Lepisosteus oculatus: one gene and its partners. The protein of the gene in region 3 interacts with the protein of the main gene of each other region in a pairwise test. Links are inferred from orthologs where the notes say so. Each region holds a gene or a part of one and is shown on either strand. Other genes may lie near its edges.

Region 1 (7,968 bases), on a different chromosome or scaffold from region 3:
AAGCTTAAGAAGTCAGCTGAGTTATTCTTTGGATGTGTTTGATGAAGCAGCATATATAAAATGAGTTTTAAAAAACTCTGTGTCAACTACATGTATTTAAGAGTAAAGCCTGCTGAATATTGGGGGAAAGTAAATAAATAAGGTTACACGTTTTAGGTATTTATATATTTCACTACTGCAGAAAACAGAAGAATTGAACATGACAAATTTTACGGGTTAAGGATTAAATGAAACTTTGCCCCACATACCACACCAAACACAAATGTCATAGCCAGCAGTAAGTACATGACAGGCTTTGTTTGCCAGAGAGTTTGCCTTTTTACATCACGCAGCCTGGCATCAATTACTCTGCCTCTCATTTGTGATTGGTGAATGGGTCAAAGCTTGCTTTATACTGGGCCCTGGTCATAAGCAGTGATCGTATGCTCAGCTCCTGGACTGGAGAGGAGGAACATGCTCTCCGATATAAAGCAGCTCATCACTAACCATATGGTGATTGCGCATTCTTTCCTAAAGAGGAGGGAGGGATGTCTCACCCTATTGTCAGCATTCAGCTGGTCGTCTGAAGATAGCTGCCCGTTTGGCACTCTGCACTGAATAAGCATCCTATAAAATAATTAAATGCTACAAATGTAACAAGTGCCATTATTTGATAACTGCAGTATAAGTCAACCACAATTACTCCATTAAACCAGTAAACTGCAAAACGGGATATGTTCTTGTAGATATTGCAAAATAGCATTCACAAAATTGTCTGCTCTTCACCCAACCATTGCTGTTCTTCTAGTAACCTGATTGGTTTTATTTTTAAGGCAACTCTAAAGGGCGGACTGTCATGCTTTGGGGGCAACATGCCACAATAATAATATTCGTAACTGATACTATCTAAGGCTATTTTCAAGAGTTTAAATGTAGCTGCTGATAAGGTTTTAACTGTGGGGGACCATTCAAGCACTTGAAATGGTCCTTCAGGTTATTTTTACCAAATGGACTCATGTGAAATGTTTATCCTCAGCAAATCTGTCCTCTCCCAAAGACACACGGACCTGGCAGCCTACAGGCTTCACAAATTAGGAAGATTAATCCATGTTAAAAGACTGAAGCTTTCGGAACAAACTTTTTAAAACTTATTTATGTGCATCTCCAAATTTAAGAACTTTTGGAACCATTTTCAGCTGTAGCAAAGAACAATGAAAAACTTGACCAGGAAAACAGCACTCTGTTGGATGCAATAAAAGGTCTCTTTATCATCACAGGCCACTTTCAGCTGTCCTATAGAACACAGGCCTCCACATATTTCTGATGTACAGCTGCAGGAAGTAAAAACCCATTTCTTTTACTGTCTTAGCCAAGTCTTGCATAGGCTCATCTGTGAAGAAAAAGGAGTCTTTGAAAGGAATTCTGAAAGAACAGAACAGCAGGTGTGTGAACGAACTGCTTTAACACTGCCACTTTATTAGAAATCCTCTCTTACTGATTGGTATGTCCAAAGTCGTAACAGTGGTAAAATGCTGCAGAAAATATATATATAGCCTAGTGCTAAAAATCAGTGTTATTGCTCTGCGGTATTTCAGGTTCTTCTCAGGTGTTTTCATCGTTCTTTTCTCTTGATCGTGTGGACTTTATCGCGCAAACGTCACAGGAAAAAAAAACTTTTAGTTAACTTTGATACGGATTCAACAGCAATGAATCCAGTAAAACTTGGATGTTTCAATGCAACCAACCTTACCAGCATGGTGCATCTTTAAGTGTATTTGCTGATACGAAATATCATGGTAAAGCAGAGATAAAGAGCCTAGCGCCTGTAGGCATCAAGTGACACGTCCTGCAACAAACACAGGTGAAACCCTATAATGTACATGGCTTGCATTTTTTGCATCGTTTGTATAACTGTACACGACACGTTTTGCATTAGAGAATTTTATGCATTTAAACCCACTGTTATAAGACCCAACTGAAACACGTTAAGCTTTCGTTAAAACTAACGTCAATGTGAATAATCCGACTAGACACTGAAAATCAACTCCCCTCTCCCCCCTTTTAAATTGTAAAACCTGGCGCACCCAAAAAAAAAAAAAACAACTAAGCTGTTCCCCTCACCCTCACCTTCCATTGTGTGCTGTTGGAGATGGCAGGCTGTGACTAACTGGAGTCGAAGTTCGCACCCCCGCCGGCTCTTGTTTTCGTCCATTGTCTGGAGTCCCGGCTTCCTGTGTCGGACCTCCTGTTTTGGTTGGAGTCCGCGGAGCTGCGCCCTCGGCAGTCTCCGATGGAGGTGCCGACCCGCTCTGCGGCGCGTCTTCCCCCGGAGCCGGAGCCGGAGCCGCCGGCCTGTTCTCCACCTTCTCCACTAACCTGGGTGTGTCTGCGCCTGAGCTGCTTGCGTTGAAGCCCGTATCGCCGGTTGCCCCTGCTTCAGTCTCAGTAACTTCTGCTGCCATGAGGGCGGCACCGTCTTTTCAAGTCTCCCTTCAGCTGAAAGCCCCGAAACTTCAAGAGCCGAAAAACTGTCGCCGACGCCGCGCAGCGCAACGCGTGTCAAGTTCTCCTCCACCCCCACCCCCTCCCCGTTTCTTTCACAACAGCAAAAAAAAAACCCGATAGTTAATTAATGCTAAACCTGAAACCGTTATGAAAGTGTACTCCCGATTTCCCTACGCCACGGTTCTGGTGGCTCCGGCGGGCTGACGTGCGGGAAAAGAGAGGACCTTTCTGTTTTGGTTGACTTGCGAGCCTGTTGTATGGCCCAGCAGCTCCTGTGCTCAAGTCCGCTTCCCCTCCCCTCTTCCTTCCTTCCTGTCCTGGAAAAGTCTGCAACAGGGCGAAACTACCAGCACCAAGCCGACTTCTCGCTAAGTCCTCCCCATGGTGAATCGCGGACGCCGGAAAGCGATCTTTTTTTTTTTTAACACCGCCTAGGTCCTGCAGCCGCATTTAAGGAAGCGAAAAACCGACCGTTCATTTTTGCACCTCGCTTCCCCATCCAGTGGATCTGACCGGCTGCTGGTCAAGTCCGTCAGCCTGCTCGCTGCCTACCCCGTTACTCGGGAAGCCCTGCGCTTCTCTCCTCCCCTTGACGGCCACATTTCTGCGGTACTGCCCTCTATGGTGCAAGGAAGGAACACCTAAAAGTTCACCAAAAAAAAAATGAAAGCTGCGAAAACGGCCAAAAACTTGCCTATTCTGATTCCCTTCAGCAACCAGTATTAAATGTGTTTGCAGGATGGGGCTTTTATAGAACGCCCTGTAATAGGATAGTATTTCTTTTATGTGAATAAAGTAAAATAAACATAAAATAATGATGAAGGTGTTGGTTTTTTTTTTAAAAAAGCCCAAGGGAAGCTGTATCATCCGCCTCTGATGTGGTTACTCAGAACGCACAACTATTTCACTATTTCGTCCTTTGAATTTTCCATCTTCACATGTCGCCTAATCTCCGGCTTGTAAGCTTGACACAGAAACCACGCACCTGGATAACGGAAATGATTCTTGAAATACCTGTGAGTATCTGTTGTCTTCACCTTGGCCTGCAGTATGCGTCGTGGCAAATCCCCCGCAAACACAAGTCACCAGAGGCATTAGGAAGTTGTATCCTAGACAAACAAGGTGAGAGAATATCTTGAAGAACATTTTTTTCAGACAGTAAATCCACATGAGTAAATCAATTTAAACTCTCTAGTTTTTATTCAACTTCTTAGTAAACTTTTAAACAGTTGCAGGGTTACTAATTCTCTTCCATAATAGCAAACAAGGAAAAAAAATATTTTAAACTTAGTTTTTTTCCCATTTTAACACATCAAAAGTCTTAACATCTGAGGAAAAAATGAAGACATCATAATTTAGGAGAAGTCCTCATTGGTTGCAAAAATGATCAATTTTAACGATGATTTAATTTTGAAAAATGATGAAACAAGTTAAAACATTGTTATTTCTAATGGCCATAAAAACAGCCACATACGCACTCAAACCCTTTTCAAGCTATGCTGCGTGTAAATTCAAAACATCTACCAGTAATGCCGGGACCGTGCGAAAATATGTAGGCCTATGTTTGTTCACACCGTCTGAGTACCGAGCAAAACAAAATCACGGATAATTTTTGGAACTTTATCAATCCCTGTCTGACCGATATTTAGATCTCAAAAAGAGGACTAATGTCTTAGATTGCATGTAAACATATCAGAAATTCTTCTCCGCCAATCTGTACTCTAATTTACAATTGTACCGAGATGTTTTCTATAGGATGTTGCAGAGTCCTTCCATATACAGTACATAAAGAACAGTTTTGTTATACAGGTGCACTTACTATATACAGAACACACAAGTCTATAACCAGTTCCAATAGTACTAGCAGATCAGCTACCAATTTGCTGTTTAGTTTTCTTTCAGTTGAATTGTATTTGAAATGTCTTTACAGTCATGAATGTTCCCTTTCTGTTAGAGCTTTGGACTCGCATATCAATGACTATGGGTCCAAGTTTATTATACAGATGAACAGGTGCAAAACTGATTAAATAACCTGCTGAACTGTGTGAATCTATTACTACTAAATGTATAACTGGAACTGTAGGTTTAGGCAGTGTCTGAATGTAAAAGCGTCTGTAAAAGTTATGAATAGGAAAGTTTCCAGAAATTTGGCATCAAGAAAAATGAAAATCGTATGTCCGGGATTAAGAGGACGTCTGCTCACCCTTAACCATAGTCGCGTCACGAATCGTCTCTCTCCTTTGCTATATTTCCTGAATGAACATTTCTTTCAAAACTTCATCAGATATGCAGTATTACAGACAAAACGGTATTCTGAAAAATAGGTGACAAACGAGCTCCAATGAAACATGCTACAGGTAAGTGTACAATGCTTCATCGTAAACATGTTTTACAGAAATGGTGAGCATTTTGCCCATAATTGTTATCAGAATTGTAACCAGTTGGGCATTTAACAAAGAATATTGTTGTAATTCGATATTTAACAATATATTGCAGACTTTATTTAACGCCTCTGGCACTGTATCCGAAATCATTACGACATTGAATTTCCCTCTACTGGCACAGTCCATAAAGCTTTAAGTTTGTGTAATAATACTGTAATAATTGATACACCTCACAAATTATGAATTTCCTCGTATATAGGAGTATGTGCTTTACAATTAGACATAGTATTCATAGTATGCTAATCTTTAATTTCTGTCGTTGAGGCACTTTATAGTTTCAATTATTAGTTGAAATCGGTCATATTTGGCAGTTACGCCCTCAAAATGTGTCATAAAGTAGCCAAATTAATTTAGCAAAACTGATTTTGATACGGATAACGCAAGCAGCCCAGTTCCACGCAGCGTGTTCCTGACTGAATAGTGGGACAGTTATATGTTTTCTTTTCTGATCTGAATTTCGTCTGCCACGTTCCTTCCTTAGCCTTCGTAACATCACAACAGTAGCTTTGCTTTGACGACCTGGACAGGGCGCACGGCTCAGGCCAAGCACAGAGGGAGCCCGCGTTTCACCCTGCTCGTGTGAGTGAGACTCCACCTCCTGGTGTATTTCTGTGAGTGCACCACACTTCATTCCTCCTACCAATTCATTGATAGATATATTGTACACTAACTGCACTGCCAGATGTTCGGGGACTTCCTAGCTGTACCTAATTCACTTAATCTTCAAGGTGGCCCTCACACGTGTACTTTCGTTGCGGTGTACAGAAACATGGTGACTGTACACATGTCTCAAGAATGCACCCCCCGAAAGGTGAGAGGCCAAAGGTGACGTCTAAACATATGAGCCTTTAACATTTTATGTGGGTGTTCTAGTTTTAACTTAAACGCAACGTAAAAACGTTCCTGGACTGTATTTGCTTGTTTTTATTTTGGAAAATATTACACCTTCTTTTGCATTGCCACGAGGAAAGCCAATTAAATGAAATATGAAATTGGCCATTTTGTTACTGTTATTTAGATGAAAATACGGCGGTTGGTATTTTTGAGAGCTTCCAGAAATTAATAGTTGAAAAATGATTCGTCTGTGGCAGTTATAAACTAGTAGATAGATTAATGAAAATAAATTACTACATATTTTTCAATGTTGACGTGATATTTATGGTTTAGAAAGTCTCGCCATAATTAACTGATTTTTCCACAAAAATGCAAATTCAACTGTTGAAGCAGTCTTCTTGAAATGCCCACTAGGTGGTAGGAGACAACCAGGTTAAAATCATTTGTCTTCTGCTATCCGCCAAGGGACAAGCTGAATTATGTTCTTGATTCTAAATATTTACTACTTCAAAAATGTACGTCTATAAAAGTATTCATATTCAGACTTGTCCTGTGGCTAGTTATATATTGAGACAAAATAGATTTGAGTAGATATTAGTTTATCAAATCTTTTCAGATAAGACATTAAAGTTTGAATGTATATCTATACAGTCACAGAAAATAATTCACTCAAGAAAGAAAACGGAAATTCTTGTTAATTTAAACCAATTAAATGTACTCATCTTTATTGATCATTTTTAAAACCTACGTTTTTTTTACTTTCATTGTCTTTGGAAAATGTATCTCCCAAAAAATCTTGATTATATCATTAACAAGATTAACCTGAGAGTCCAAAAGACCAAATGTATCTGAAGCAAACATGATTTAATCTACCTAAACTATTTATGTATTATTACGATTAGATTATTACTCAGTATTGTCTTGGTTTTTATTTTGTTTTGACTGGTAACCTGTATTCCTCCCTTTCTTCTATACTGCCTGAACATACAAGGTCATATCATATAGATTGATACTTTATTGATCCCGTGAGGGAAATTGCAGTGCAACAGCAGCTTAACACAGACAACACAGCCACAGTGTAACGAATTATATACTAATAGTACAATACATACAATACAATACAAGAGTTACTCACAGTCTGGACACACAAGAACAAACTAGAACAGAACATTACACAGACAATCGTATCACACATATGAATATAAATATAGATGTAACTATAGATATAAATATAAATATAAATGTATATCAGAAAGCATTCAGAGCAAAGTTAAATACCTTGATAGATTTTCAATAGTTACTAAACTGTCTAAAACACAAAACATTTACGTTTTCCTAAATATTTAATTTTTACTTGATATGATGCCTTAAGAGATAGAACGTTTAGTTATGTAATTCATCACTCTTTGGTAGAGTCCAGTATTAATGGACATCTGGGACAATAGTACTAACTGTATATATGTGAATATGAAAAATAGTCTCTTTTAGTATGCTAGAATACAGTGTCAAGGCTAAGGATGAAAGTACAGAGTTATTCATTAGTTCTCCTTTATTCTGAAAAATGTCTATGCCTATAGATGCTGCAATAAGCATTTACATGTGTAAAAATGTTGATAAATCATTGTTTAACAAGACTTTTGTAAACTACTTACATATGCTTCAATATAATAAATTGTTGTTTGATAATGAATGGAACTGTTAGGAACTAGATTTAAAGTGACAAGGTTTACTATCTTTTTCATTTTATAGAGACGAGTGCAAACAGAAGAAGTGGCACTGTAAATATAAAAAAAACTCCACAGAATGCAATTATTTGGACACTCTGAAGGACTATGAGCTGAACACAAACCAAACTATTAAAAATTGATCTATGAATTCAGTTTCCCCCTGTAAAAAGTAATTGCGTTCATTTAACTTATCCCTCTTTACAATTTTATTTATTATTATGAAGGGATATGGAGATGTAGATGATGATTAATGGTGAAAATGCACAGGAAATGGGAGCTGCTTCCTTTATTTAATTACTGTGTCCAACTGAATTGCTTCAGAGATCTACAAACACGGATGAACTGGTGAATAGAGTTTATGTACAGTGCAGCACCGCAGTGTTTGACATCACAGATAGTTATCAGCATTTGTGGTTTTACATTTCCATTACATCCCCCTCTACTGAACAGCATAACCTTCATTTGTAGATGTTATTCTG
Region 2 (7,117 bases), on a different chromosome or scaffold from region 3:
CCACACATCAGCTATCAGTGGGAGGGAGAGCAGAGTAATGAAGCCAATTCATAGAGGGGGATTATTAGGAGGCCATGATTGGTAAAGGCCAATGGGAAATTTAGCCAAGATGCCGGGGTATTTCTATTCAAATCAATCAATAATGAAATATAAAAAATATATTGCCTGAGAGCTGTTTTTCTCTCCACTGCTGTGCACCTCAGATCCTCTCCGGAGATGAAGGGGAGTCTGAGACCGTGGAGGACTAAATTAAAGAAAAGCACTGGTAAGTGACTGTAATTGAAACATTACACAAAATGTCTTACACATTGCTTTAAAACAATGTTTTAATGAAAGCAGAGACAGTCTCCATCACATGTATAAAAGCTTATGACTGTAAGCTAAATAGCTATCTAGTATCTTAAATTAAAGATATGTGTGAAGTCTTTTTATCAACTCACCCTTGTTCACTATTACTATTTTCCTGTTATGTATAGGCTGCATTTTTTAATGCATGCCTGTAATCGGAAAGTATCATGAACCCCGTGAAATCAGTCCTGCAAAAATCAATTTGGCTGTCCATTCAATATTAACTTAACTGGACAGCATCAAACAAGGTCTACTGCAAAACAAGATGTATGATAATGCATTCCCAGCTTCATAACAATTAAGTACTCCTAGCAGAATGCATAAACATCTATATTTGGTACAATAAATGTATAATCCTTTAAGTGTACTTCTTCATGTATTACATAAAATCTGAAAGATTTCTAAATTTAATAGACCACCTATTAGTGTAATCTACTTTTATACCTGTCACAATGAGAGCTTCCTCTGGAGCTACTTCTGCCAGATTCATGCTGTGCATCTAGAAGCATGTTTTCGATGTCTCCATTGTGAATCGAAGCTGGCACCTGGTCCTGCCCTCCATTTTGTGTAACACTCCCATTTCCATTATTATTAAAGTGCAGCTCCACCCAAGAACCTATAGGAACATGTAAAACAACACAACAAATCACACCCAGTAAGTATAAATATATAAGCTCTATAATTTTAAACTTTAAAATGAGCACACATACAGTACCACTAGCATGCCTAATTTAAAAAGGACAGCTTTAAAAGATCATCAGCCCTTTATACTGCACTTACTTTAATGCAAATAAACAGTGTTCTTTTTGAACCAGCTGACTGTCACATGCTTGTGCCCTCTCTTTACATCACTGTATTTTTTTTACAATCTACTATCCAATAAGGAAAGGAGCATCAGAACCACTCCTGTCTATTGCATCACTTGAAAGAAAAAACATGTCTGTGGTTATTTTTGTTCCTTATCATAGCTGCATTAGGTAGGACCATAAATAGAATGCTACAATTGACAATAAAGAACTCATAGGACAAAAAGACTTTGCAAGGTCATCTGATCAGTCAGTTTCAAAGCTGATACTGTTTTACATTAAGGAACTGAAAGCAGAAAGGGTATGAAAACAGGATAAAATCAATACTTTGAGTGCAACTGATCCCACCAACATTAACTGCTAATTGTGAATGTTCAATATTCAATACATGACCTCTCAATACTTTTTTTTTAAAAATGCATAAATTGTGTCTAATGTTGTACACAAAAGCTACTTAAGTTTGCAAACGCACACTCTTCAGTCATTTGTAATTATTAACTTTTTGTTCCATTTCTTAAGCATAATGGACTGGCAAGATTATAATTAAAATACGTTTGGCTTGTGGTAAAAAACTGACATGAAATGAGCTCCTATTTTCTTTTAGTCCCCTACTTCAGTGAAAAAGGAAAAATAAACAAAATGCGGTTTTCCTGAAATTATATCTTCTTATCAACAGTATTAAGATTAATTTAATTAATTGGCTGATACAATCCATTTATCTACTGCAAAGGGATAAAACAGTACATACTGTACGTTCTGAAAGTATAGATTTAATGATTATGGAAGTTTGATATAACAATACACGATAACATCAAGGGTGAAAACTGGTGACTGGTGAATCTACATTAGCCAAGTCTGTGTTAAACCTTAAATTATCACTTATTCTTAGATTATGGTTAGGGTGAGAGTGTGTGGACACAGGTGAGGTCAGGAAAAAAAAGTATTCGGGTTTCACCAAGAAGCCTTTGACGAACCTACATTTACTGGATCACCAGCTTCTTAAATATAAGTTTAGTTTCATGATTTTAAATGTATACATCTGATTGTTTTCCTGGTGATTCTTAATAATTTAATTGGGATTGTTTGCTTGTCACTTATATTATTATTTCAACATCATCCGAGATTTTACAAAAAATGTAACAGTATTTTTGTATTTTTTCATAACAATGGTACAAATAGCTTAAATTCCAACCCTAAACAGGGGAACAAATACCAGTCTTACGCCATTCTAGTTTTGTAAATCTCATACTAGCACATTTGGCACCAAACAAGAGTTTTAACTCTGCTTAGACCGACCTTGTAAATGAAACCAATTGATTAAATCACAAATCTTAACTAGGGATGAAATATTCAATCTGCTTGGAATTTGATTTCCACTTTAACTAGCTATATACAGTGTTACAATTTTTTAGAAAAAAAATCTGAAAATCTGTCATTTTAGAATAGTTGATTTTCAAATACGACAAAACGATAGATCGAAATTAAGTAAAGTCAACAGAAATCGCCTCCAAACCTTGTGCGCTCTGCTGTTGTTTACATTCCACTCTGAAACGTCACTTTAGCAGCATTTGAGCAACGTGCATAATTATCATTAATTTATAATCCAAGGAAATTATGAATAGCAACCCTTAAGGCTTGCATAATTTCGCTAACATTGCAAAACAAATCGCTGTCACTCAAGGCCTCTACACTGAACACCGCGGACAGAAACCAGCAACCTACCCTGCAAATTTTCGTCCTGGTTACTTTGCTTCTCTGTCGACATGTTTCTTGTCACCTCTATCAACAAAGGTGGTGCACAAGCTGTACTGCTAAATTAACGCTACACCTGCGCTACTTTCATACAAATTGGCGTCTGTTTGGTCTGGGTAACAAGCATATATCAAGAACCAGACCCCCACAAAAACACAGTGACGCAATGTATTGTTGATTTACTGGAGTCCGTGTCGCGATTGGTCAGAAAAGGACCACGTCATGCCGGGGCTGGATTGGGAAAAAAAAGAACGTGCAGTTCAGCTGCAGATTTGTACTGTGTGCTTGCGCCTTTTCCCAGTCCTGCAAAGATTTATACACAGGGCGAGCCTTGTGGTCATTTGAGTTATGTTACTATTATCGTGCTTTAAAAGCGAAAGAATGCTAACAACGAAAGGCAACTTCCTTGTATCCTTGATTGGCAGTGTAAGAAGATGAAGAAACGTTCCTGAGCCGAGACACAACTGTTGTGAAGAGTTTAACTGTAAGCGACGTAAAGCAATCATAACACTGAAAAGCTTTGTAATTGTATTTTCAGTTGCTTGTGGATTACAAAACATATGTATATATACTACCACTATAAAGAAGGCTTTAGCCCGGCCAGATTCATACAGCGTACTTGTCAGGCATAACATAGGAAATACTGTATATTCGATAGTGCGCCCTCAGGTGGTGAAATCTAGGAATGCCGCGATTGCTCTACAGTATATGAGAAGAGGCCATTAATATTTTGGATACAGTTCCTGTTCATTTAAGGAACGTGCAAACGCCTCTCGTTCCAGGATTAAAGATATATACCCTTCTCTTCTCTTTTAAAACAACATGCAATTTCATTATTAAAATCGAGTTATTCTAATCAGTTTTATTACACTGTATAAAGATCTCAGTCACAATAGCTGTAGAAATTCTTCTGTTTCAATAAATTTAAACCCCCTAGCAAAACTACCACCACTAATATGATAATGTATTAGGTGGTTCCCAATAATTTTAACTGTAACGTGTTGCCTCGCCTGTTATATTGCAGTTGAGTCTGATGGGTCTATCTTGAACAGAGCCTGATTTTAGGTTTCTCTGTTGTTTGCTGAAGCAATGTCTCATTCTATCAGCAACTTCTCTTGGTGATGGGCCCCCTTCAATGATGCTATCATCAGTCAGTTTTCATTATTCAAGAAAGCCATTACTGTATGTTGTCCTTCTTTCTCCTCTTTTTCAGGGGTTATATCTACATTACACAATAACTTCATTGGTAATTTGTATGCAGCTACACAGTGTATACACGTCTATTCTGAGAATCACATTACTGAACTAAAGTTTGTGCTCTCATAGGCCTTTTGATATTAAATGTGAATTGTTGTGTGTTTTCATTATGAATTAGTTATGTTTATGTGCTCATAATTGAATTAGTTACATATAATATTAAGATAACATATTTAATCAATTAGAAAACAAGACATTTTCCCAAATGTTCTATCAACTGTAATTGAATGCATAAGAATATTATAAGAGGGCTATAGAAAATCTGATTTTGCATATATCTAACAATGTCAGATTACTCAAGTCTTATGTTTTCTAAACATTTGAACTGTGAGTTTAATATAGTCATAATGTATGTCTGCAAAGGAACAAGTAATAGGTTTATTCCATGCTGAAAAGAGAAGAAAGGAATCACAACATTTCGGCCGTGGAGCCTTCTTCAGGTGTGAAGTTGAAGAGTTAAAGAACACACAACTGAAGAAGGCTCCACAGCTGAAATGTTGTGTTTTCTTTCTTCTCTTTTCAGTATGGAATAAACCTATTACTTCTTCCTTTGCAGCCTGCGCATTCTGACGCAGCTCCCCACCTGAGCTACATAATGTGTCTGTCTGCAAACATTTTCTAATACCATCTTATTTATGAAGCAGCCTTCTGTGGTGCTTGTAAACTCTTCAACTATCTCAGCAATAATATTAAGCAGAACTAGGAGTGGAAGTTCTCCCTGTGTTCACTAGGGTTTCCTCCCACAATCCATAGACATACAGTACTAGTAGGTTAATTGGCTTCTGGCAAAAGGCCCTGGTGTGTGTGTGTGTCCGCGTGTGCCCTGCTTTGGACTGGCATCCAGTCTAGGGTGTATCCTGCCTTGCACTTGTTGATTGCTGGGATAGGCTCCAGCTCCTCCATTACCCTGTACTGAATAAAGCAGTTAGAAAATGGATGGATAGACAGTCTTCCCTCTTCATGTACAGTACCTCAGTTTGAGTTGATGCAAAGAGTAAAAAAAATCAAAATCCACAGAGTAACTAATTTAGTATGTCAGAAAAGTTGAGAAAATGATGAATGGGTATTTACAGGAAATTAAAGACTGGGCAGAAACCTGGCAGATGAGATTTACACATAGTATTTACACATGTAAAAAGTATTCTTACACGTAGTATTACATGCAGGAAGCAAAATCATAAACTTTAAAAACAAAATGAGAAATGATAAGCTTGAAGAGTCTACTTATGATAGACTTAGGTGCTTATGCTGACACACTATTTACATTTTCTAGACAATGTGGGAAACAATAAGAAAGGCAAATAAAATGTTGGGATATATACTGTACCTGAAAGCCCCAGATTTGAAATAAGTGATTTTACATTGGAAATTGTGCAAAGCTCTAGTTAGACATTATTTACAATATTGTTTATCATTTTCATGACCACATTATAAAAAAGATGTTGCTTGTATGGAATCTGCTCAGAGAACAGCAACTATATACTGTACATTCTGGAGCTTCAGAGAACATCCTGCACTGATAGCTTTAAAAAACTGAGTATTTTAGTCTTCAACATAGAAAACTATAAAGGAACATAATCCAAGTATTTAACATCCTTTAAGGCACTGACAAATTCAATTGAGTGAACGTCTTCAGAATCAACAGTCAAACATGACTCAGAGGACACTATGTGGAAATACCTTTAAAACCAAGAATAGGAGGTACATCTTCACACCAAGAGTTGTGAGAGTATGGAACAAGAGCTACCCAGCAATAGAGAAGCCAAAAGCCTAACTACTATCTCACTCTCAAAAGCATCACTTTTCAAACACAAGTTTAAATATGAAGGGGGTAATAAGTATTTTATTGTTCCTTTGAGTGCCATGAGTGTTAAATGTTATACTGTATGTGAATACTTGAGAAAATGTATATATTTTAACCAATAATTATTAAATTCTGCAGCAGAAAGCGGTAATTTAATTCTTATCAGAAAAAAACCCACGACAAAATGCCCACAAAAAAGTGTGAACCTTTTTTGCAAGTTAAAAAAAGAAAAAGGAATTGCAAAGGTTCAGTTTTTGTAAAATACTGTAAATAATCACCCATATACTATAGATGGTCAATGTGATGTGCTTTTAAGTTTTACATTTATTTTGGCAAATGATTATAGCTGAACACTCAGCAGTCACAGAGGTTTTTTTGACAGCCTCTAATACCGCCACAGAGCAAGAACTGCAAGCAAGGCCTCTTCATGCGTGGTAAAACATTCTGCAAATCCACTTGAATGCAGACGATAAGCCTCACTTTCCTTGTGCATTACATCCACTGTATTTCCCTAATCACGGTTATCTGTGCTAAGAGAATTTTTTCTTGTGCAGGGTGGATCGCCGGCTTGCCGAATGTGCTCCTTGATGACGTGTCTGCACTCGGCAGCTACTGTAGCTGCAGTGACACTGCAATGGCTGAGGGGCGGCTGGTGGAAGCTAGCAATGAGCTCATTCTCCCAGGAGGGAGCCAAGCTCACAGCGCATCACTGGGAAACTGCAGCTTCTGCGTGAAATACGTCCTTAGTCTGCCTCTGCTCCTGTCGGCCTGATTCTTTACTTTTGGGGGTGTGTACATGGTAAGAAGATAATCCTGTCTGGTTGATTTTAAATGCTTCCCAGGGCTTTTTTTTTTTCATTTTTTGATGCATCATTATCCACTGCTTCCATTATTCAAGGAATTTGGATGCAGCATTAGATTTCATGCTGCAGTGATGATTTTTTATATTTGCCATATGATGAATGTTGTTAATGTATGTGGAAGGTACTGCCTGCAGTTTTATTTTAGTATGTCCATCACTGCACACAGCAAATGGCACTTCCTCAAATACTAGAACAGCTCCCCAGGTAAACCAGCCAGAGAGCGTACAACATAACGGGATCATGGCTTTAAGGTTGGTCTCAGTATTTGTATTTGTATTTTTAATGCT
Region 3 (7,197 bases):
CACGTATTCACTTTTTGTTAATAATAACATTATATTCACTCAAATTTAATTAATTCCCAGGCACGTCTGATGAATAACTATTTCACACTAGAAATGCTTAAATAAATCATAGTCACCTAGATCTCCAAACAAGATTTGGGTAGTTCCTTAGCAGTCCATACTACTGCTTCGTTCATTTATTTTCATTGGTCTTTGTATTCTTCTGACTTTCATTGTATAACCACACAAAGTATACCCATGACAAGAGTTTCTTCAACATGAAAAGAGCAATAGAACACACTCCTGCAGAAGATGTGATTAATGTCTTCACAGCATCAGATATCATGGGAATAATGACTGATGCATCGACTGTTCAACCCCAAAAACAAACAGAGAGAATGTATGACAACTGCAAGCTGTAGATCTCCTCTGTGGCTGCATTCTTGAAGGTGATGTCACATTTATTTAAATGCAGACGTGGTTTATTTAAATAATATTGTGATCAACACAGTGATTTAAGGTTTAGAAACCAGCAAGACTTCATATGGGAGCTATAATCCAGTTATAGTTTAGAGACTAGTAAATATCTGCAGTGACAAAATGTTTTGGGAAATTGCCACTAGTCACCACAGAATCCTGAAAACCAAAGAAAACGTTGCTGGTATCCCCCGTCTTAAAAAAAAAACTCCCTCATAGCACAAGCAGATACGTGTTACTACAGTGAAGCGAGGCTGCCTTTTTTTCGTCATAATATTTTTCTGTACGTTAAAGTGTTTTAGCAAGAGCGTTACCAAATAAGCAGAAATAGGTTATAGTAACTGTTTAAGTCAGGTGTTATGAAAGTTTCAATGTTTTATACAACATTTTCTAAGGCTTTCTGTAAAACACCTTAGTACGCCCCTTCCTCCCGAGCAAGTTAAGGCGTCAAATTAAACCCTTGTGGACTGGGCGAGCCCTCTTTTCAGAATTATAAACCTTCTTTTTAACGTGTCTTCCGAACCACTCGTGTGACATTAGCCCAGATGTCCTGGAAGTGAAGTACTGTATGTTCCCAGTTTCATCACAGGCTGAAATTGACAGCTCACGACACGGCAACCCTTCGTCATGTCTAGTAGGCGTGAAGGGGGTGTGACAGGGAACGCGCACCTAATTGGTCAGAGCTCCCTTCGGACAGGTGACCTCTTACAGAGCAGGCTTCGCCACACAGATGACAGGAAATGTCTTTCCATTGTGAGGGACAATCAAGGCTTTTATGCATGTTCTTCAATCCATTTAACAAAGACAAGGAAATGTACAGGTTTTAGGCGTGTCCCTTGTCATTTCAGCAGGTATGTGCGTGGATTTGGGGTATAACCTGAATACTCAAACCGTGCATTGAATGGTGCGACAAATTAGGCAACACTATCACAAGAGATTATGGGGAAAAATCGATTCTGCGGAGATCATTAAGGAAGGGAGAAATTTGAGGAAAACAGGGAATCTTGCAAAACCTCAATTACACTTTGCATTTATTTATTTTTTATTGTTTTTTTTTTTTTTGCACGTTGTGACCAAACTCACCCAGCCTCCGTTCTCCTGGATCCAGTTCTGAAGGGGCCCGTTGAGATACTCCGTCATCCAGTTGGCAATGTTGTCCACCTGGGACGTCATCTCCCGGTTCACGCTCTCCACGCACATCGTCCCGCCGAACTCGAAGAAAGCGACAATCCGCCCCCAGTTGACTCCGTCCCGAAACAGCTCCTCCACCACCGCGGTGAACTTCCTCCGGGCGGTGTTGGGGGTGAAGTGCAACTGATCCGACATCTCCGCGAAGTCCCGGTGGTACATCCTCTCGATCTCGTCCCCAGCCTCCCGCAGCACCTTGTGGAGAGCGGCGTGGGGGTCGGGCGGGGGGGTCCGGCGGGGGACCGGGACAGCTCCGCGCTCGGCCCCGGCAGCCTGGAGCCGCCGCGCCTGCAGCCCCGGACCCGAGGCGGAGGGGCCCACCAATCCGTTATTGGGGGGATCGGTCTCGCCGGACACGCGGGATTCCCACACGTAGCCCTTCTTCAGGAGTTTGTGATGGATGTATTTTGTCACGATATTCCGAGTATCGTACGGGGCTTCGTTATTTGCCATTATTTAGGGACTCAAAATGCCGCGACCAAACCCAGCAAGTCCAAGCAGTCCTATGCCACGTGCATTTTCCAACAGAAACTCGTAAACGGCTTGCTATATATTCTGTAATTCAACAATACAGATGATTATTACTACCAGACTCAATGCATACATTATTTCTGGTGTTCCCACCAGTCTTTAAAAATACCAATATCAAAAAGGCGGCTAGGATCAATAACACGCCATGCTGTAAAAACACCGCGGCTGTTCGAAACCCAGACACATTAGAGACATCTTCCAATGCAAACACCCTAATTAAATAAAAAATATTACCCGAGTTAAACACGCACTTTAATATCGGTGCATTTTAGACGTGTGCATTGTAGAAAGAATGAAGTTTGCCCTTTACCGATCATTTCCACACCGGCTTCAGAAGCCCCAATATAGGCATTATCAAACTTTGAAAAACGTACTTTTAATTAATACGACATTCTATATTTTTCAGAAAGCATGTTTATTGGGTGACCCGCAATGTTCTACTATTTGCAAAAACCTGCGTTTAAGTGCATTGCAACACGTAAACTGCAGCTACAACATATACTTAACACTTCACCTTTTTTTTCCCGCAGACTTGACAGTCTTCATTACAAACCAAAATGTTCTAAAAGAAATGAATGTCAAACATCAAGAAATCGTGCTATGCGGTGAATGCACTACTCTTCGTAACCAGGAGAGCAATTTTCTAATGCCGGAGAAAACAGTCGGAGCTAATATCGTCTATCTGGATTTAAATATGCATTTTCCTACAACCGAATTTTATCATCTATTTTCTACTTTGCCTATACATCCCGCGCTATCGCTTTATAAACTTTGGGTAACTTACTTCATCGGTTACAGGCGTTTAGACAGCTCCAGAGCCGCAAGCAATCCGCCAGGAATGTTTGATCTATTCTAATTATTACGCCCCTTTTCAGCAATGAGAAAGATCCGTGGGAAAAAAAAGTACCAAGTTTTCGCGTATCCTTTAGAATATATTTTCCACAAATCCAGCAATTTGGGAAGTATCCACTTAGATTCCTAATTCGAGATAATCACTTGAACACATCCAAAACTTGGACGAAACCGCACTGCTGTCCTGCGGCGCTGAATTATCCCAGTGACATTTGAACAGCGCCTTTGAAAGACGGAAGAGACAGCAGTAGCTTTCGAAATGCCTTTTATCCCAGATTAAGTAAATCGACTAGGAGAGTCTCCCACACACACACACACAAAAAGACGCCGAGGAATGTATTAAAAAGATCTCAAGTTTAGAAAGAAAATAACACTAAGCCTTGCTCCTTGCACCGTCACGGCAAAAACTACGTTAAAGCTGCAGTTACATAGTATGTGAGCAACAAATCTTTGATACAACTGCACTCGCCGTCACTCCCTCTGCCTCTCATTATATATAACGTTACTCCTTTCGAGTGAGGTATTTCCTCTACGTCACGCCATTCATTTTTTTAGTTACTCTGGCAGCACTTGATGGCGGGGCTACTGTACGACCGGCTGCTTCACCTGTTGTGAGATTTCCGCTCGATTTTTATTATTTAACATCGGTTCCAAGTCCAATATCGTTAATTCCCCGGCGCTGCCATTTGTGTTTCGGAACATATTGTTTGCACCACAATTAGGTTTGTACCACAAAAACGATCATCGATGTCGCCAAAATTATATCAAGCGAGCGAGTTCTTTACCGAAGACGGATTTGAATGATTTTACAGTAAGTGCAAATGAAATACATTTTAAATAGGTAAATGTCATATATAATATAAATCTATGCCAAAGCTTGTGTTTCTCGAGAGTGCACTTTAGCAGTTAGAGAACTCGAATTCGCTACAATATTAATCATCCTACAGTATATTTTTAAGCAATTATTCAGGATCGTAAAGTGGGGGCAATTGTTAACCAACACCATTAAAATACCGAACCGTGCATATACTGTACATATATATACTTTACGTAAAATATTTGAGATAAATGATGCACTGAAGAGTGGAGGCGGGAATTCTACATGACATATGAAATTAATGAGAAAAATAAAGACGTCTGACATCCTATCGAAGCTGAATTCCCGAAATCAGTCTGGAATCGGTCTGCAGTTACAATGCCTTGTAAAAACATTCACCCCTTCCAGTGATGTTCCATGTTGTTGAATTAGAAATTCTCTCTACACCTTTTTTAACGTGTTTATTTTTAATCGAAAGGTAAATGCTCGAAACTTCATTGTGCGTGAAAGAAGTGAAGTGTCTGCAAAGAAAAAATCAAATAAAAAGTTGATTCACACCCTTTATAATGACACATCTTTAATTTGGGCGCACACAATTACAGTGACAAGTCGCACCATTAGTTGTATGGCTTTAGCTGAATGGATTTAAAACTATTCACTTTATAAATCTGTGTACACGATTCATAAATTCACAAAGTGGAAAAGAGTAAATACTTTTGTAATGCATTGCGTTTACATTGTGAGAATCCTTTTCTATTGTGGATTAATGTCTTCAAGGAATTTTAATCTTGTCCTCATTTGAAAATCATTTTCTCGTCCAGATTTTTGAGGCACACATTTGGTAGACGCCAATGCCATCTGGAAAATGGATTTTTAGATTTAATTTTTTAGGAGGCTGTAGTAACAGGCTGTCATCATTCTTCATGCATAAGCAGTTCCAGTTTCCAAGGGTATCAGTCTCATTTACTTTTCTTTGGTAGAAGGCACTGCAAACAAGAAGCTGGATTAACGATTTCAAGATTTACATTTGGATTTAGAAGATTTTTCTCCTTTGCTTTCAATTCTGTTATTTTCAGTGGGGTTTCCTTTCTACGTCATTATGTCCATCTGTCCTGAATTCTATTTGTCTTTTTTTTTAACCATCTGTATCTAAATTCCTTCCATCACCAGGAAGAGCCAGCTGGGAAAAGACCTACTGGATGTTAAAATGTGTTCCCTGCTTTTAGAGGACGCCAGTTTCGGGAAGACTTTTTTTTCCGGACAAAATAAAATACCGTAAATTGTTCTAACTAATTTTATCACAGAATTCCAGAATTTTAAGTTGTTGTATATCCGTTTTATTCAGCAGTGGGCAGTCTTAGACATGTAAGAAATACCTCATAAAAACAGTCTTAACGGCGATGGCAGCTCCGTGTAAAACACAACAACAGAGCCACGACGGTAAAATACAGAATACCTGATCTAATCTTGACACGAGTCGTCAAGTCTCTGAGCAGGCTTTAGGAGCGGGATCTATGGGAACTGGGCCCCTGCTTTTCTCACACAATGAACAGAGCAGAGCAATTCTAATAGGTCACCAACAGTCACGTTTCTCCTTGAACTGAAACAGAAGTGCCGGGCTGGGAACAATGACGTTCTTGTTAACTGAAATCGCACGCCTGGTGTGAGAAGTCTCCAAGCACATGTCCAACCAGGAACCAGATGAAATCTGCATGTGCTTTTTTTTTTCAGAACTTGAATCCATGATGAGGTTCAGTTGTGTGACTTGTCAAAGTAGCTTTGTAGCGTCCTGTTCGTGATCTAATATGTTTCCCATAGCAAAGGGGGCAGGCACTGACAAGTGACAGGTTTCTGTTTTTTAAATGGTTCTCTGCAGTTTTTGCTGACATAATGACGTAATTGTTTTCATCCATCAAAGTGTTCCGTTTGAGCATTCAAGCTTGAACTTAAACGTTTGTTAAAAATGTGAATGCATCATTTGTTATTCAGCATAATGGGGTATCCATGGGAGGGGGATGAATATTTTTGTAAGGCACTCCATAAACAGCAAAACTATTAAACATATCCAACTAAAACCAACAGAGACCTTTTTGGAAGGAATGGCTGCTGATTTTCTTTCTCTTATCTCAGCACAGGCACACGTTAAGGACAACAACCCATCCTGCAAAGACTCTGACTTAACATGGACTCAGAAGGTTTGTTTTCCACAATATACTGTACAATTTTATCATTAAATAACAAAAACCAGTCTCAATGGCCAGCAGCAGGCATTAGATGTGGTGGCTGACCAAAACAAAAAGCACTTTGCAGACACTGTGACTTGTTCCCTGTTATTCTCATAAGAATTGCTTGCATTTATATAGGACTTTTCATCATGAAAGATTCAAACGTCCTTCACATCCAGGAGGGGACCCACTTCATCCATGATAAAATCAATCCCCTGTCAAGGGGATGTACAACAGCCCCAATCCCACTCCCAGAGAAGTGAGAATTTACTCAAATATCTATTGAATTAAGAGGGGAATTGAGGGAAGTCACTCCAGGCTTTACACACCCAGAGTGGGGATCTTTAATGACCAAGTAGTCACCCCACACCAGTTGAAGTGTTAACTACGGATCCACCGAGATCTCTCCCAATTTTTTGCCTACCTTCTGAGACCTGACAAAATCAGACTACAGAATGAGTCACTTTCCACTGGCTGGAAGAGAGAAGCTGAGGAGGTTATTCCAGACGGCGGCTGTCAATCAGTGGTATCACAGACCTTGGGGATCCTCTTATTTTAAACACTGCTGTAAGGATCTGTACACATTCAAAACACTGATTAGGGACCTTAATCTGGGAAGGATTGTAAGACTAATAACACAAGGTGCTTTTACTAGATTAACGGCGTCTGCATTTAATTAATTATGCCAGAGCAGACAATGAACTTGTCTAGTCAGCACTTTCTCTCTATCGTTTTCAAAATGACACGTGTCAATTGATCTGTGAAAACAGTATACACTGCCTTTCACAATCCGTGAGAAGCCACATTATTTTGTTTTTAATTTAAAGCACATTAGAATTGTTCAAACGAATTGTTCAAGGTACGACACAACAGACACCCCTTTAAATGATTTTTATATTTTTCTAAAAACTGGAAAACTTGAATATTGTAGTTTTTAGTATTAAAAATCAAGTTAGGAGAATAGACTCAAGTGATTTCAGCAATTTAAGCAAGGATGTGGGAATTATGTTGTAATAGAAACACAGATAACAGAAGCACATTTGTGTTCATCATGTCCACTTTGGAACTCAATGGAGTATAAATCATTTTTTGTTGTCCTTATTATCTATCTTCAGTTATTTCATAATC

Evidence for each region.
Region 1: the proteins of apoptosis regulator Bcl-2 (region 3) and bnip2 interact in a two-hybrid assay, tested with the Homo sapiens proteins (3 studies listed by BioGRID and IntAct). The link is inferred for Lepisosteus oculatus from reciprocal best matches to the Homo sapiens genes BCL2 and BNIP2.
Region 2: the proteins of apoptosis regulator Bcl-2 (region 3) and bnip3 interact in a two-hybrid assay, tested with the Homo sapiens proteins (2 studies listed by BioGRID and IntAct). The link is inferred for Lepisosteus oculatus from reciprocal best matches to the Homo sapiens genes BCL2 and BNIP3.

Annotation. Positions count from the first base shown.
Region 1 is NC_090700.1:58,384,203-58,392,170, reverse strand, and holds the start of bnip2 (BCL2/adenovirus E1B 19 kDa protein-interacting protein 2), read right to left. Parts: upstream 3,103-7,968; 5' UTR 2,442-3,102; coding exon 2,107-2,441; intron 1-2,106.
Region 2 is NC_090699.1:25,044,377-25,051,493, reverse strand, and holds the start of bnip3 (BCL2/adenovirus E1B 19 kDa protein-interacting protein 3), read right to left. Parts: upstream 3,084-7,117; 5' UTR 2,920-3,083; coding exon 2,877-2,919; intron 965-2,876; coding exon 793-964; intron 245-792; coding exon 166-244; intron 1-165. UniProt on the Homo sapiens protein: Apoptosis-inducing protein that can overcome BCL2 suppression. May play a role in repartitioning calcium between the two major intracellular calcium stores in association with BCL2.
Region 3 is NC_090701.1:10,513,486-10,520,682, reverse strand, and holds the start of apoptosis regulator Bcl-2, read right to left. Parts: upstream 3,050-7,197; 5' UTR 2,960-3,049; intron 2,200-2,959; 5' UTR 2,098-2,199; coding exon 1,540-2,097; intron 1-1,539. UniProt on the Homo sapiens protein: Suppresses apoptosis in a variety of cell systems including factor-dependent lymphohematopoietic and neural cells. Regulates cell death by controlling the mitochondrial membrane permeability. Appears to function in a feedback loop system with caspases.